2 linked regions of the Astyanax mexicanus genome follow. The protein of the gene in region 1 purifies or fractionates together with the protein of each later gene. This does not show direct contact. Links are inferred from orthologs where the notes say so. Each region holds a gene or a part of one and is shown on either strand. Other genes may lie near its edges.

What was found.
Region 2: the proteins of carm1 (region 1) and smarcc1a purify together in Homo sapiens (affinity purification with western blotting; 3 studies listed by BioGRID and IntAct, with this or other methods). This does not show direct contact. The link is inferred for Astyanax mexicanus from reciprocal best matches to the Homo sapiens genes CARM1 and SMARCC1.

Annotation. Positions count from the first base shown.
Region 1 is NC_064426.1:9,726,390-9,733,329, reverse strand, and holds the start of carm1 (histone-arginine methyltransferase CARM1), read right to left. Parts: upstream 3,021-6,940; 5' UTR 2,939-3,020; coding exon 2,797-2,938; intron 1-2,796. UniProt on the Homo sapiens protein: Methylates (mono- and asymmetric dimethylation) the guanidino nitrogens of arginyl residues in several proteins involved in DNA packaging, transcription regulation, pre-mRNA splicing, and mRNA stability.
Region 2 is NC_064408.1:129,661,270-129,668,633, forward strand, and holds the start of smarcc1a (SWI/SNF complex subunit SMARCC1), read right to left. Parts: upstream 3,019-7,364; 5' UTR 3,004-3,018; coding exon 2,803-3,003; intron 1,106-2,802; coding exon 986-1,105; intron 1-985. UniProt on the Homo sapiens protein: Involved in transcriptional activation and repression of select genes by chromatin remodeling (alteration of DNA-nucleosome topology).

The sequences.
Region 1 (6,940 bases):
GAGACCACTGAATGAACAGGCGGGCAAGAGGCGAGAGGGGAGGCAGGGGGACTGGCTATTGTCTTCCAGTGAACAAAGATGAGCGTCTTAAAGCACAGGCTCAGCGCCCTGCATGTTATAAAGCTTAACAGACCTACTGAAGAACATTTATATCCATCAGTATTTCTCTTAAGAAGCAGAGCAATGATGTGCGCCATCTGAGCTTCAACACCACAACACACTCAGTCCCACTGCCAGCTGGCAGGCGTTAAGCATTAGGCTTTAGGGTTACCTGGAGTGCTTTAACTTCAAACGAAACAGAGGGAACTCTGGGGAAATCATAATCTCTGGTTTAGATTTGAGGGGTGAGCTTTGTTTCTCTGTGTACAGCACACTCGTAAATCAGCTGAAAAGAAACAGAGTGCTGCTGGCTAACTTTATGACTTAACGCCAAGAAGCATAGGAGGTAAATCCATGTCCAAAGAGTGAAAGTCTGCCTCAGGATTTTGATCCAGCTTACTGGGGAGCTTTATTAGAATTTATCCTTGTGGGAAATGCCATTTCAATATTGACAACTATAATGGACACAAGTCGAGAAACTTTAAGTCCATCACAATTTATGAAAATGGCTTGAACCCTTGAACTTTTCTATCATCAACACTGAACATTCTATGCTGTCCAATGAAACTTCAATTGCTGGGATGTGTATTGCCAACAAAGCTCAGGGACTTTCTTTTTAAATTAGTGACCATCACAGCTTTCACATTTTAAGGCACCAAGAAATGTATACATTTTTTGCATTTATTTTGTTTCTGCTGCTAATACAGAAATTGTTTCTTTAAAATAACACTTTCCTTTAATTTGTCCAGTATTTTAGAAGTCTACAGTCATTTTAACTATCAATTTTTTTTCAGTGACCTCTGTAGCAGACAAATACTGCCTCCAATTTTATCCAGCTTCAAAAGATGCTGAATGAATTTTACTCAGAATTGTATAGGAAATGTCAGACTAATGCTGTGTTCTTGTGCTAGCTAGTCAGAGAAAAAGTCATACTTTGCACTTGTGAAATAAAAACCTACGAGCATGTCACATGCAAGGGTGTTTTTTTTTTTTGAGCAACATGAAGAAAGGAAGACAAGGTTTGTTTTTGCTGGTTTCTTGAAGAAAAAGGTTTTAGTAGAGTAGTCAACTTTGCAATGAACAGATTCATAAGCCCTATCTGGACAGGATTGGTTTTCTTCAGGGGTATGTCTGTGAAAAATATTTCACACTTTTACTTAGTGATAAAACTCTTGCGTCCGGACTGCAATTGAAAAAACTAAGACCATTGAGTTTTTTGGCTTTCTAGGTCACGTGAAATTGCGTTCAGTAGCTCCTCCATGTCCACTCAATGTTGTATTTATGTGGATCTCTGTGAGCCCAATGTGTAATTACAGTGGAGTGGCAGTGGAAAAATAGTTATTTTATTAAAAGCAATGTGACTAAACTCAGATGTGCGGCCGGACTGGAGTAAAATTACCGGAGGACCACGGAGTTCAGCGGAAAACAGTGGGAAATTCTGCGTGTAGTTTTCTCAGAGGACATCTGAGAAAAACACATACATGGTCGTTCCAGACGGAAATAAAATTACAGAGGACACCACATAAAAGAAAAAATTACCCCAGGACCTCCTGAGAAACGAATCCCATTCGGACAGGGCTATAGTCTAGAAAATGTGCAGACAACTGTTAACAGCAGCTGCACTTTTAAAATCCGCTACAGATTCTCTTTTTCTCAGAATTTCTCTGGAATTAAGTGTTCAGGAGGCTGTTTGTATGCAACTTCCAAATCAGTCAGTCATATTTCACATAATTCCAACAGCACATAAATGCAGCATTAGAGCTGCCAGGAGAGGAACAGGAGGATGGCTGAAGGCAGGACAGTAAGGCAGTGAGAGTAAAGGTGAGAGGTGGACCCCTCAGATTTCCAGTCTTCTGGTCACTCTAACCGTACTGGACACATTTTAGAGCACACAAACCAATGGGATGTGTCCATCCCTAGATGGAGGGAAAACTATTTTCACATTTCAATACCATTAGCTTTTTGTCCCCTACATTCTTAGACTAATCAAGACCCAGTGACCACTACAAGGAAAATAATATAAAAAATAAACAAAGATTTTTTTATTTTAACCATACCAGTTGTTGAACCATAATACTTAGTGAAATAAAAAAAATATATAAATGTTAAAAGCTGTTTTTCTGGCTCTTAGAAGGGCACAGCAAAGCTGCTCAAGCAGTTTGATCTAAATCCTGGGCTGGATTAATAGCTACTTTTTGGACCTGGGTTCAATCCGCACCAGCGCCAACCAGCATCAATAATAAGCTAGCTATGAGTTAGCATTGAGTGCTAATAGTCTACCAACGTGGTTTCAGTCGTGTGTAATAAACAGACAGTTTCCAGATACACAAAGTAAAAATCCACCGCGGTTTTTGTTCAAACCGCTATGACGGCTGTACTGCAACCAATCCGCCCATACAGTTGGAACAAAACCTGGGCTTGGATTTTTACTTTCTGGAGTTGGACTACCCATTGCTACACTTGCAGCTGCTTTTAGTCACACAAAGCACAGTTTCACACTAATTAAACAGCACAAACTCGAAAACGACACCTAACACACATACGTATCACCTCATAAACCAATATAACTAATATATTATATCTACAGCCTAAATATTAAACCCTGTAGCCCCGTTAGCCTAGCCACCGCTCGCTAACGCTAGTTAGCTAAGCGTGCCGGACACAAAGGCTGGACGTTACGGCGGAGCGTCCACTCACTGTTGGAGAGGTTGATCAGGGCCGCGTCCTGCGTAGTTTTCACCTCCAGGCGCAGAGGCTGCTGCTCCGAGTGCCGCTGGATATCTCCGTTCGCGTCCCCAATGGAGAGGAGCCGCACGCCGGGGAACACCGACACCGCCATCTTCAAGCTTGGGGGGGAAGAGAGCAGCAGCAGCAGCAGCGAACACGCAACCGCTCTGATCCGATCTCCCGCGGACTCGGCGGGGAAGGAAGGCCGGGCTCACTACCGCCCCCGCTCGGCCAAACCCTGCAAGACAACCGCGCTCAGGGCTGGATACTCGATACAATCGATACAAAGTAGAAACTGATGTTTTTTTTTTATTTATAAAACGTTTCCTCGTTTTTATAAATAATTACATAAATGTATCAACATTTCTCTTTGATTTTTTAAATGTATAAATAAAAAAACATACGTTAAATTGTGGGAATTAATCAGCATCAGAAATCAATGCTGTTTTCATGCTTTAGAGATGGAAAAATGAATGATGAGTGAACATACTTTTGCTATCTGGGAATGATGTACTAATTGTGTTAATTATTTATTAAATTGTGGAAGTTTAATTTATTACATTGTTGAAAGAATTTAATAGGCTATGTAGATTAGTAAAACTGAGGGAATAATTACTAAATTTAAGGCTGATTCAGTAAATGGTGGGAATAGTTTATTAACATGTTTATAAATGATCTGTTTCTTTAGAATTCCGGAATAATCTATTAAATTGTGAGATAAAAAAAAATTGAGACTAATTTACTAAATTGTGGGAACAAATTATTAATTTGAGATAATTATTTATTAAATCAGGTCTCTGTCTTTTAATATTATTTTTGGTAATTTGACATATGTTGCTTCTGTGTTTTTTAACCATTATTGCCATAAGTACCATTAAAATGCCATAGAATTGTAATGGTCCAGAAGCAGAATGCAAATGAATGTCAGATTTTTTTTATTATTAGCCCTTACAAAAAATAATAAAAATACTCTAATACTCTAATACTAAATACTCTAAAAGAACTCTAATAAACAAAGAAACAAACAAACTAAAGAAAACAAAGCAGAAACTTAGCAGGCACAAACATCAAAAGCATGACAGAGAACAAAGTAGATATGGGGTATATATACACAGCAGACATCCCAAGTTGCAAAAGTTGATTTCAGGGAGGTTAACCCCCCCACCCCCCACCAAAAAAAAAACAAAACAAAATAAAATTTGCACACCAAATCATATAGGAACTTTACTTTTATATCAATTAATTTTCCTTTTTTTTTTTTATTAAATTTAGAGTATTTAGAGGTGAAATGAGTTTTATCTTTTTTCTTTTTGGAAGGCCCTGCCTCAAGGAACACCTGGGGTAGTAAGGAGGGTTGAAAAAAAAAACAGGAGACAAGACAACAGCAAAACAGGGCAATGTGCTTAAAGAGCACATGGCTAGAAACACAGACAGGATCAGAAAGGACTAAGAAAGAACAAACGTAATTTGTGACCTTTGTTGGTGTTAAAAAATGACCAAGCTTATTTCCAACTCTGTTAGATTTCAGAATGATTTAGAATAAAACTGATTTCCTGAGTATAGTTGGTCCTTTGTCCAGTCATTAGTGTGTGAGATGAGCTAGTTGAGGGGATTGCAGTTGAGTCTGTTGTGGTTGGTCAGCTGTTTGCACCGCATATTGTTGCTGGGTAACCTGCTTAGTCAGGCTGGTGGTCATGCTGGTCATACTTGAGGTCTGGCTTGTTCAGATTGATCATGATTGTAGACCAGCTTAACCATAAAAAACACCCTATGCTGGTTAACCAGCTTAATTACAGTGGTTCATAATATTATCCAATATTACATATTTGTGACTGGCAAAATGATGTGACCTTCTAGGATTAGCAGTTAGTTTGAAGGTGAAATTAGAGTCAGGTGTTTCAATGGATAGTATGACAATCAGGTGTAAGTGAGAACCTTATTTTATTTAACAGTGATTTATTTAAAATGTAAGTCTGTATTATTTTGTTTCTAAACTGAAAGCAGAAGCATTTCTGAGTGGAGAAGGAAGAAAATATTGTGTTTGATGGTACCAGTGTGCTGAAACCACCGTCCCTGCTAAGCCTAATATATTCATTCTAAAAACTGGGGTGTCAGACCACTTTTTGCGGGAATTCACACTACAGACTCTAAAAGAGGATTCGGCGCAGTTTTATTGAATGCGAGTGGCTGGTGGAACAATGGAGACTTCAGAAGAGAAAACTCAGAGCTCAGTATCTCATATAAAAAACAAAGAAATGAAGAACATAACCTGGAATCGAATTCATCCACTCTGAAAGGAGACACCCACCCAGTTTAAAGTGATTCTTCCACATGCTTGGCGGAATTACCTATTCTCACCAGAGAGGGCCCTTAATCCCAAAACCTATGAACATCAGCTTTAAAATCTGCTCTTCACAACACCTTTATAGAAGTCTATTATAACACGAACAAATGTGATTTCTGAGATCCTTAGAAAAAGAGTAGTTGATGCTCATCAAGCTGAAAAAAGTTAAAAGGTTAAAAAACATCTCTAAAGAGTTTTGACTCTAACAATACACAGTCAGACAGATTGTATAAGGAGTGGTCAACCAATGGAAATGTTGTGAAAGGAACTGAAGTGTGCAGTTAATGTGAGGAAACGCACCAACATCCCAGATTTAAAGCTGTTCTGTACAGAGTAAAAAGCTAAAATTCCTCCAAGGCAGTGGAGCAGGACTGATCAAAAGTTACAGAAAATGTTTGATGATGTTTTAGATCATATTTATGCAGAATATTTATATAGATAAAAATTTAAAGGGTTCACAAACCTTTAAGAACCATTTTAGCTAGACTAGCTTTAGATGGGCAGGCTGTTTTTGGGCAGGGAATAGAGACCATGCCAAAACATTGTTTAAATGCCAAAAAAGTAAAAAAACAAACACATGAACATTATTATTTCATTTTATTGGATGTGCATTCACAGTGCATAGCTGTATATCAAGGCATCAAGGGGCTGACAGTTTACAGTGCATTTAAAAAGTAGAAAAACTGTAAAACCTGATCGTTCAGTATATAAATCCTATTATTTTGGCACACACCATGTAGGGCTGAGCAATATGGCCCTGTAAGGGGTAATAGTACCCAGACCTGCCAACCTTGAAGAAATGTGCTGAAAGTTTGGAGGAAAATTAAGTGTGAATAAAAGTAGTGGATGGCTCCATAATTAGTTTGCTGGAATAGTGTTTATGCTTACCGGCCATGTCGATAAACAGCATGACAGCACTATCATCATTATAAGGGCTCTGACTAAAGTTCGAAGCTAGCAGACGTGGGGTGGTTGGATGAACATGAAGTGCTCTGATTGGCTGAAAGCACTTTGCTTGTGTCAGTGACAACCTGACTGAAACTGGCAAACAATATGCATATTTTATAAAACGTATTGTACAAGTGTACTAGGATGTCAAAATGCGTGCACATTACACAAAATGTGAAAATGTTGGCAGGTCTGTAGTACCTCATAAACAGAGACATCAACACACCACAAAGAAGGAAGAAAATAGAATAATCATCCCAACATACCCAATACTCCCTCGGTAGTGTACTCTGCAAGTCATGGAATTGTGGATTGTGTCTAAATCTAAAAAATATATATTTGCAATAGAACAGTATTTACGTTTATTCATATGATAAAATTTAAAATATATGGCTATCTGTGTATACAAGGTGTAATTATTAGCATAGCGTCATAAACTAACAAAGCAAATTTCAGAAATTAAACATATTTTGGTTGATCTATCAGTTATCAGTCATGTCTATTAGTTTTTTTGCTTTAAATCTTCAAAGTACTTAGATTTTCAACCATGTGGTATACACAAAGTGATTGTTTAGGGTTTTAAAAAAGCAATATCATACCAAAACATGATATATGGTTTTGCAATAATATATTATTGCAATAATAGATTTGTTTAATTAGTTTTAATGGTTCATACTGTGTTGTGTTAAAATCCCACCCACTAGATAGCAGTGTTTTACTGTTATAGATGCATAAAGTAGTTTCCTTTAATTCACATTTTATTTATATAATAAGTGTGTGTTTTGATATACTATGATTTTTTGCAATATATTGCCTTACTTG
Region 2 (7,364 bases), on another chromosome or scaffold:
CAGAATTAACTGAAACAAGTTTTGTAGACCAAATTTCCATGACTTTTTCAAAGGTTTCTGGGTATTTTAATTTCTCCAAAACTAATTCAGGTCTGGAAAACCTTCAAAGTTTTTCCATGGCCGTACGAACCCTGCTATTAACAGGACGTTTGCGCTGAAATCACCATGAAAAAAAATTGACAATGTGCATTGTGGAAAAACACAATTTCATCTTCTGTTTAAGAAATGTTATGCAGCTGCAATGTTTGAACACCTGAGGTCACAATCCATCTAGTGCAGGCCAAGGAACCAGTGGGCGTAAGCAAAGAGCGGAGGACAGGTCAGTCATTTCTGACTGAAGAAAAAATTAATTTAAATCCTGATTATAGTTGCCAACATGTTATATACACCTTCATTTTTAGCTTTCAACCAACTGTACACAAACATTAAAGTGAAAGGTTTCTCAAGAAAATAGTTTATGAATTTTCACATTTATCGAAATTTAACCCTCTATTAAATTAGAATAGATCTATTGTGTGTGTGTGTGAGTGTGTATATACACATTATATATATATATATATATATAAGCTTAAACCACTGGATTTTAAAAGTAGCACAGCCAGTGTAGATATTTTATAGACAAATTGTAGAGCAGTGCTCATGCAGGCTTCAGTACTGACTTCTGAATGAAATAATTTAGTGTAATGCATTTAAATGTTTTAAGGTATTGCATTTTAGACATTTTAAGACTTTAAGACATTTGCGGGAACCCTGTAGTAACGCAGCCAGCAACACTGTTTTTTTTTTTTCAAGCATACGATAAACAAGTCTGCAAAACTCTGTGTAAACCATCTAGAATACCCAGTATAGTTCAGATTTTTGTGCAACCCTAATAACAATAAAGCATCACTTCAGCTAACTCTGCAGACCTGAGTTTATCGTGCCACACAAGGAAAGAAATGTACGATAAACAGCGTGGAATTAGCGTCTGCAGAAAAGCACTTACGGGCAGTTTGGTGAGGGCCGGGTTGCTCACTCTTCGTCCAAAAGCGTCCTCCTGGAACTGGAGCAGCTGCACCACCAGCCCTGCCAGAGTCTTACAGGATGGAGAGTCGGCCTGGACATGCTGCAGAAAATACGAATACAAAACCATACGTTCAGAACCGGCAGCCATAAAGTTTTAATAAGCTATGTGTATATTACTTTACATTATATTGCATTTTGCAGACGCCTTTGTCCAAAGCGACTTACAATAGTGAAGTACAGTAAAAGAAAAGTTATAGAAGTTAAAGGTAAAACATCTTTAGACAGGGTCTAAAGGAGGTTAAAGGGGAATAATGGGATAGAGGAGTAAAGGAGGGGAAGAAGGAAATGAGGTTAGAAGTAGTTAGCTTGTTTGCTATGTTCAGACAATGTGTTCACTAAACCAGATATTATTAATGTAATGGAATGGAATACCAAATGTCTGACTTATTATTATACCTGCATAAGTATCTCAATACCAATACTGAAAAGGTTTAAAAAAAAAATACATCAAAAACTGAATATTAGGAGATCGAACATGGAACTCAAAAGTTAGTTTTTTTTTTAACAAACAAAATGAATAAATGTTTAAAATTCAGATATATAGTGAGCCATAGGTCAGTGTTTTACATAGAAAATCAGGGGGCATTCCAGTTAAAATTTCCTACTTGGCACTCAGTAATTCTAATATTAGAGTTCAAGTGGAGGTTACAAACCATTGTTTAAATTAGGGTTTTTAAATATGGCTTCCACAAACAAAAAACTAAAAGCCATTAATTAATGTGTTTAAGAGGTAAAGGATAGTTTTACTTTACTACTGCAAGCGTGATACAGAGGCCATATTCACGAATACTTTACTACTTTAATACTTACATGACATAGTAATGTAGTAGTGGATATTTTTAAAGTAAACAACAAAACACTTCTGTAAGTCGCTGAGGATATGGTCTGCTAAATACTTAAAAAAAAGTAAATGTAGGGATTTTTTCACCAACATTTATGCACCTCACATTCTAAATTTCACATTTTCTGATTTTTTTCTTGCATTATTTTCTATACTAACTGTCGTCTAATATCTAAACTATTGTTTTAACCCGGATTAACCTTCATTAATTAGTTACCAGCACGGCTAAATTACTTTAACTCGTCTAACAGAACTAAAAAACAAACAATCAGACCGGTTATATTGTGATAAATATTATTATTATATATTTAAACCCCAGAAACAGAGAAACAAACTTCACCCACACAATGAATCAAACCGTCTACCATCATAAACACCCCTAAAACCAGCAGATATTTAATTCACACTGGATATAAAACAGCCCAGGCAGCGTTATATCAGCTTATTTCATATTATTTCAGGATTTAAAGTGGATTAAACTTGAATAAATTATAATAAACCAGGTTAGATAGAGTAACAGCCGTTAGCTTAGCCGCCACTACACACCAAAACACTGTTAGCTTAGCTTAGCTTTAGCGTACTTTAGCTCGTTTTTAAGCAGATTTACGCTTTAAAACACATAAAAAAACAAACTATTACCGACCATAAACTAATAGATAAAAGAGTTGTGCGCGGTTTAAACTGATTAAATGCTGATTAAACGCGAATAACGCTGTAAAACTGTGTGTTTCAGCGGGTTAGTGTGTGATTTAGCTCCTCGCGAGCTCTATTGTGTTATTGTGTGTGAGCGCGCGCCACGGGCCGCATTAGCGTTAGCTACGTTAGCATTAGCTACACTAGCATTAGCTCCAGCACGGGTTTTACACAGACCGTTAGCATTAGCATTAGCCGCTAACCTTCTTGTAGTGCTTGCTGATCCACTGCCGCACAGCCTCCAGCTGCGCCACGGTCTCCCCGCTCTCCCAGAACTTCCCCGCCGGTCCGCCGTCCTTCTTCCTGCCTACCGCGGCACCCGCGGCTCCCGCCGCCCCGCCGGTTCCAGTCCCGGCCCCGCCGGACCCCGCTCCCCCCGCTGTTCCCGCACCGGTCGCCGCCATCCTCGCGCCGCTCCACTCGCTGCAATCCGCGCCTCGCCGCGCGCTGCGCTGCTTTACCGCCGAGCGCGAGAGGCCCCGCGAGCTCACACGCGGCAGCGCCCCCACAGGCGGAGCAGAGAAACTGCAGCAGGACGCTAAAAAAAATAATTCGATTAATCACAACAAAATTCTGTGATTAACTGCGATTAATCGCATTTGGGTTTTTTTTTTCAGACGCGAATTTTTATAGTGGATATTTAAATTAATGCAAGATAATTAATGATACTTAATAAATAATTAATGCAAGAGATGTAAAATGCAATTATATGTATATAAGTGGTGTCAATTAAAATTATAGTATATACTTGTATGTTTGAGTGGGGGACAGCCAACTTGGTGCCTTAATTAACTTGGTAAATTAATTTAAATTGGTATAGTGATTCCAAATTAACAGCGCACAATAACACTTTAATACATTACATTACTACTGAGCCCCTAACATGACATCATGTAAAAAAGAGATGATTAAGGTGTGGGAACGAGATACTTATGCGTGGGAATGAGATACTAATGCGTGGAAACAGGATAATTAAGATGTGGGAATGATATCATTAAGACACGACCACAACTTATTAACGTGTGGGAACAAGATCCCAAGGAATGGGAACAAGATAATTAAGGTGTGGAAATAAGATCATTAAGGCGTGGGAATGAATTAATTAAAACAGTGCTATTAAGGTGTGAACAAAAGGTCCTTTTGTTTCACAGCTAACAAAGCGAGCAGCTCTACTGTATGCGTCTAAGCCAATCAGCTTTTAGTATGCAAATTAAGTGTCTTTTACTTTATTCCAAAATATCAACATAATTTCTTAATTTCCTTATTTTTCTTTATTTAGAATAAAAATAAACCAGTTCACTCTCCATTTTCTTACTAAAGATTATATTTGGATTAAATATGTAATATACAGTTTCTTCATGAGCATTAATTTACAGAAAAGCAAGCTTTATTATTCTCAGCTAGATTAAATGAACTCGTTCCCATGCCTTAATGATCTCATCCCCACTCCTTAATTATCCAGTTCCCACGCCTTAGGATCTCGTTCCCACGCCTTAATAAGGCATGGTCATGCTTTTATTTTTACATGATGTCCCTTTATGGGCTCCAGACATAATATTGCATTACATTAAATTGCATTACATACACTCACAATATTTAAATCACTCGATCAGTAATTACGCCCCCTGGTAACATCTAATCATCTGTGTCTGATCGCTATCAGAGGCACACTGCTCAGCCCAATCAGCTCTTGGAAAAATATGAGCAATAAATAATGAAGCAATGCAACATGTGTGTCAGAGAGATTTTTCTCCACAATACAGCTAAAAAAATTTTTTGCATCACTTTTAAAATGTGGCAATGTTTTCTAAAATACTCATAAGAGCTTAAAGGCTAAAGCTACCGGACCTAAGCGCTACTTTATAAGAACTAATACGCTAAAGCTAGCAAAGCTAGGCACTGGGGCTTGCTGAGACCAGCTTCCTGTTAGCTAACAGGGTTAATAGCTTGAGATAGCGAAGATCTGCAGAAACTCCACCTATAACACATTCATTAGTAACTTGAGGTGTTTAGGAGAACAGGTTAGCTGTTCACACGAACATCGCTCTGTCAGTGACTATTATAATCATTAATAAAAAAACTACTAATGCTATTATATTAATAAAACACTATTGTTTTAGTTTCAGTGATTTTACCTCTTTAAATAACAGAAAATTAAAGTAATATAAAATTCATTTATAGAAAAGTTATTGCATATTATATATGTCATTAATGAAGAATGAAAATAGTGTGAACTTTTCTATCAAACAAGTTTTTTCAATAAAAAATATATAGTTGTTATTACAATAATGATCATATAATTTTTCCATTATCCTGAAAGAAGGTGTGTTTAGATCTTCTTGCTGGGAGAAATGAGCATTGCATCCATTTAGTGTCATTAAGATGTTCTGCATATTATACAAATAACATCTGGCATGTTTGTGCTCTTCCAATACTGATATAAAATATTATTTGCTACCAAAACAGATCCACCGAGTACTGCGGTAAAGTTAGTTTTATGTCTGACATTCGTGAGAGATTCGGAATTCTGGACAAGTCTTTTATTTAGCAGGTAATTTCAAACTAACAAGTCAGGCCACTAATCAAAAGTTTTCTGTTTAACAATGACAAAAAGACACAAATTTTATACATGTAAAAATGGGTCATATGTTCTCCAGAAAGCATCTAAGACCTTAATAATGACTGTAATACATTTTGTTTTAATGATCACTGCTTTAACATTAAGCACCAACCTTATACAATTTCATCTTCATCTTCTTTTTGCAGTATCACAGAGCGCACTGTGCGCATTATTAGGGTAATTACGGTAATTTCACAGTGTGTTTATCTGCCGCTGCAGGTTATTCTCTAATATCAGTGGTGATAATAGAACCAGTGACACCATTTGTCATATTTTAACCTTACTTATCTTAAAATCATCAATATCTTCCAAATGTTAAACACTGGAAGGTGCAGTAATCTGATTAATCCACATTTTTGTAATGTTCTGTGAGTGTTACAGGTGTGTAAAATAAAATTGTGCTCCACTTCAGTCCTCCTGTGCTCAGTAGAAGTGATAACTCTCATAAACCTTTACTGTAGGCTGTGTCCTACATCCTTATTTTGTTGGAAATCGTGTTACATAACACAACTTTCTCAGAATTGAACAGCAGAACATGGTAACCCTTTACTAATAACTGAAGAGTTGCTGTGTTCTTCTTAAGAAGTTAATGCAGATTATATCACAGTATTATAAACTGAGAAACATGGTAACTAATTACTAATAGTTGAGGATTATTTAACCTAGCTAACTAACCGACATCTAAACTAGCTAACGTAGCTAGCTTACTAACACAAAAAAAAACAACTAACACACATACAAACTAGCTACACAACTTAGCTAGCTAACTAACACACCTCACCTAGCTAACTAACACACATTTAACCTAGCTAACTAACACACATTTAACCTAGCTAACTAACACACATTTAACCTAGCTAGCTAACACACATTTAACCAAGCTAACTAACACACATTTAACCTAGCTACTAACACACATTTAACCTAGCTAACTAACACACCTCACCTAGCTAACTAACACACATTTAACCTAGCTAACTAACACACATTTAACCTAGCTAGCTAACACACATTTAACCAAGCTAACTAACAAACATTTAACCTAGCTAACTAACATACATTTAACCTAGCTAACTAACACACATTTAACCTAGCTAACTAACACACATTTAACCAAGCTAACTAACACACATTTAACCAAGCTAACTAACACACATTTAACCAAGCTAACTAACACACATTTAACCAAGCTAACTAACACACATTTAACCCAGCTAACTAACACACATTTAACCAAGCTAACTAACACACATTTAACCCAGCTAACTAACACACATTTAACCTAGCTAACTAACACACATTTAACCTAGCTAACTAACACACATTTAACCAAGCTAACTAACACACATTTAACCAAGCTAACTAACACACATTTAACCAAGCTAACTAACACACATTTAACCCAGCTAACTAACACACATTTAACCTAGCTAACTAACACACATTTAACCTAGCTAACTAACACACATTTAACCTAGCTAACTAACACACATTTAACCCAGCTAACTAACACACATTTAACCAAGCTAACTAACACACATTTAACCCAGCTAACTAACACACATTTAACCCAGCTAACTAACACACATTTAACCCAGCTAACTAGCACACATTTAACCAAGCTAACTAACACACATTTAACCAAGCTAACTAACACACATTTAACCTAGCTAACTAACACACATTTAACCAAGCTAACTAACACACATTTAACCAAGCTAACTAACACACATTTAACCTAGCTAACTAACACACATTTAACCAAGCTAACTAACACACATTTAACCAAGCTAACTAACACACATTTAACCAAGCTAACTAACACACATTTAACCCAGCTAACTAACACACATTTAACCTAGCTAACTAACACACATTTAACCTAGCTAACTAACACACATTTAACCTAGCTAACTAACACACATTTAACCCAGCTAACTAACACACATTTAACCAAGCTAACTAACACACATTTAACCCAGCTAACTAACACACATTTAACCCAGCTAACTAACACACATTTAACCCAGCTAACTAACACACATTTAACCCAGCTAACTAGCACACATTTAACCAAGCTAACTAACACACATTTAACCAAGCTAACTAACACACATTTAACCTAGCTAACTAACACACATTTAA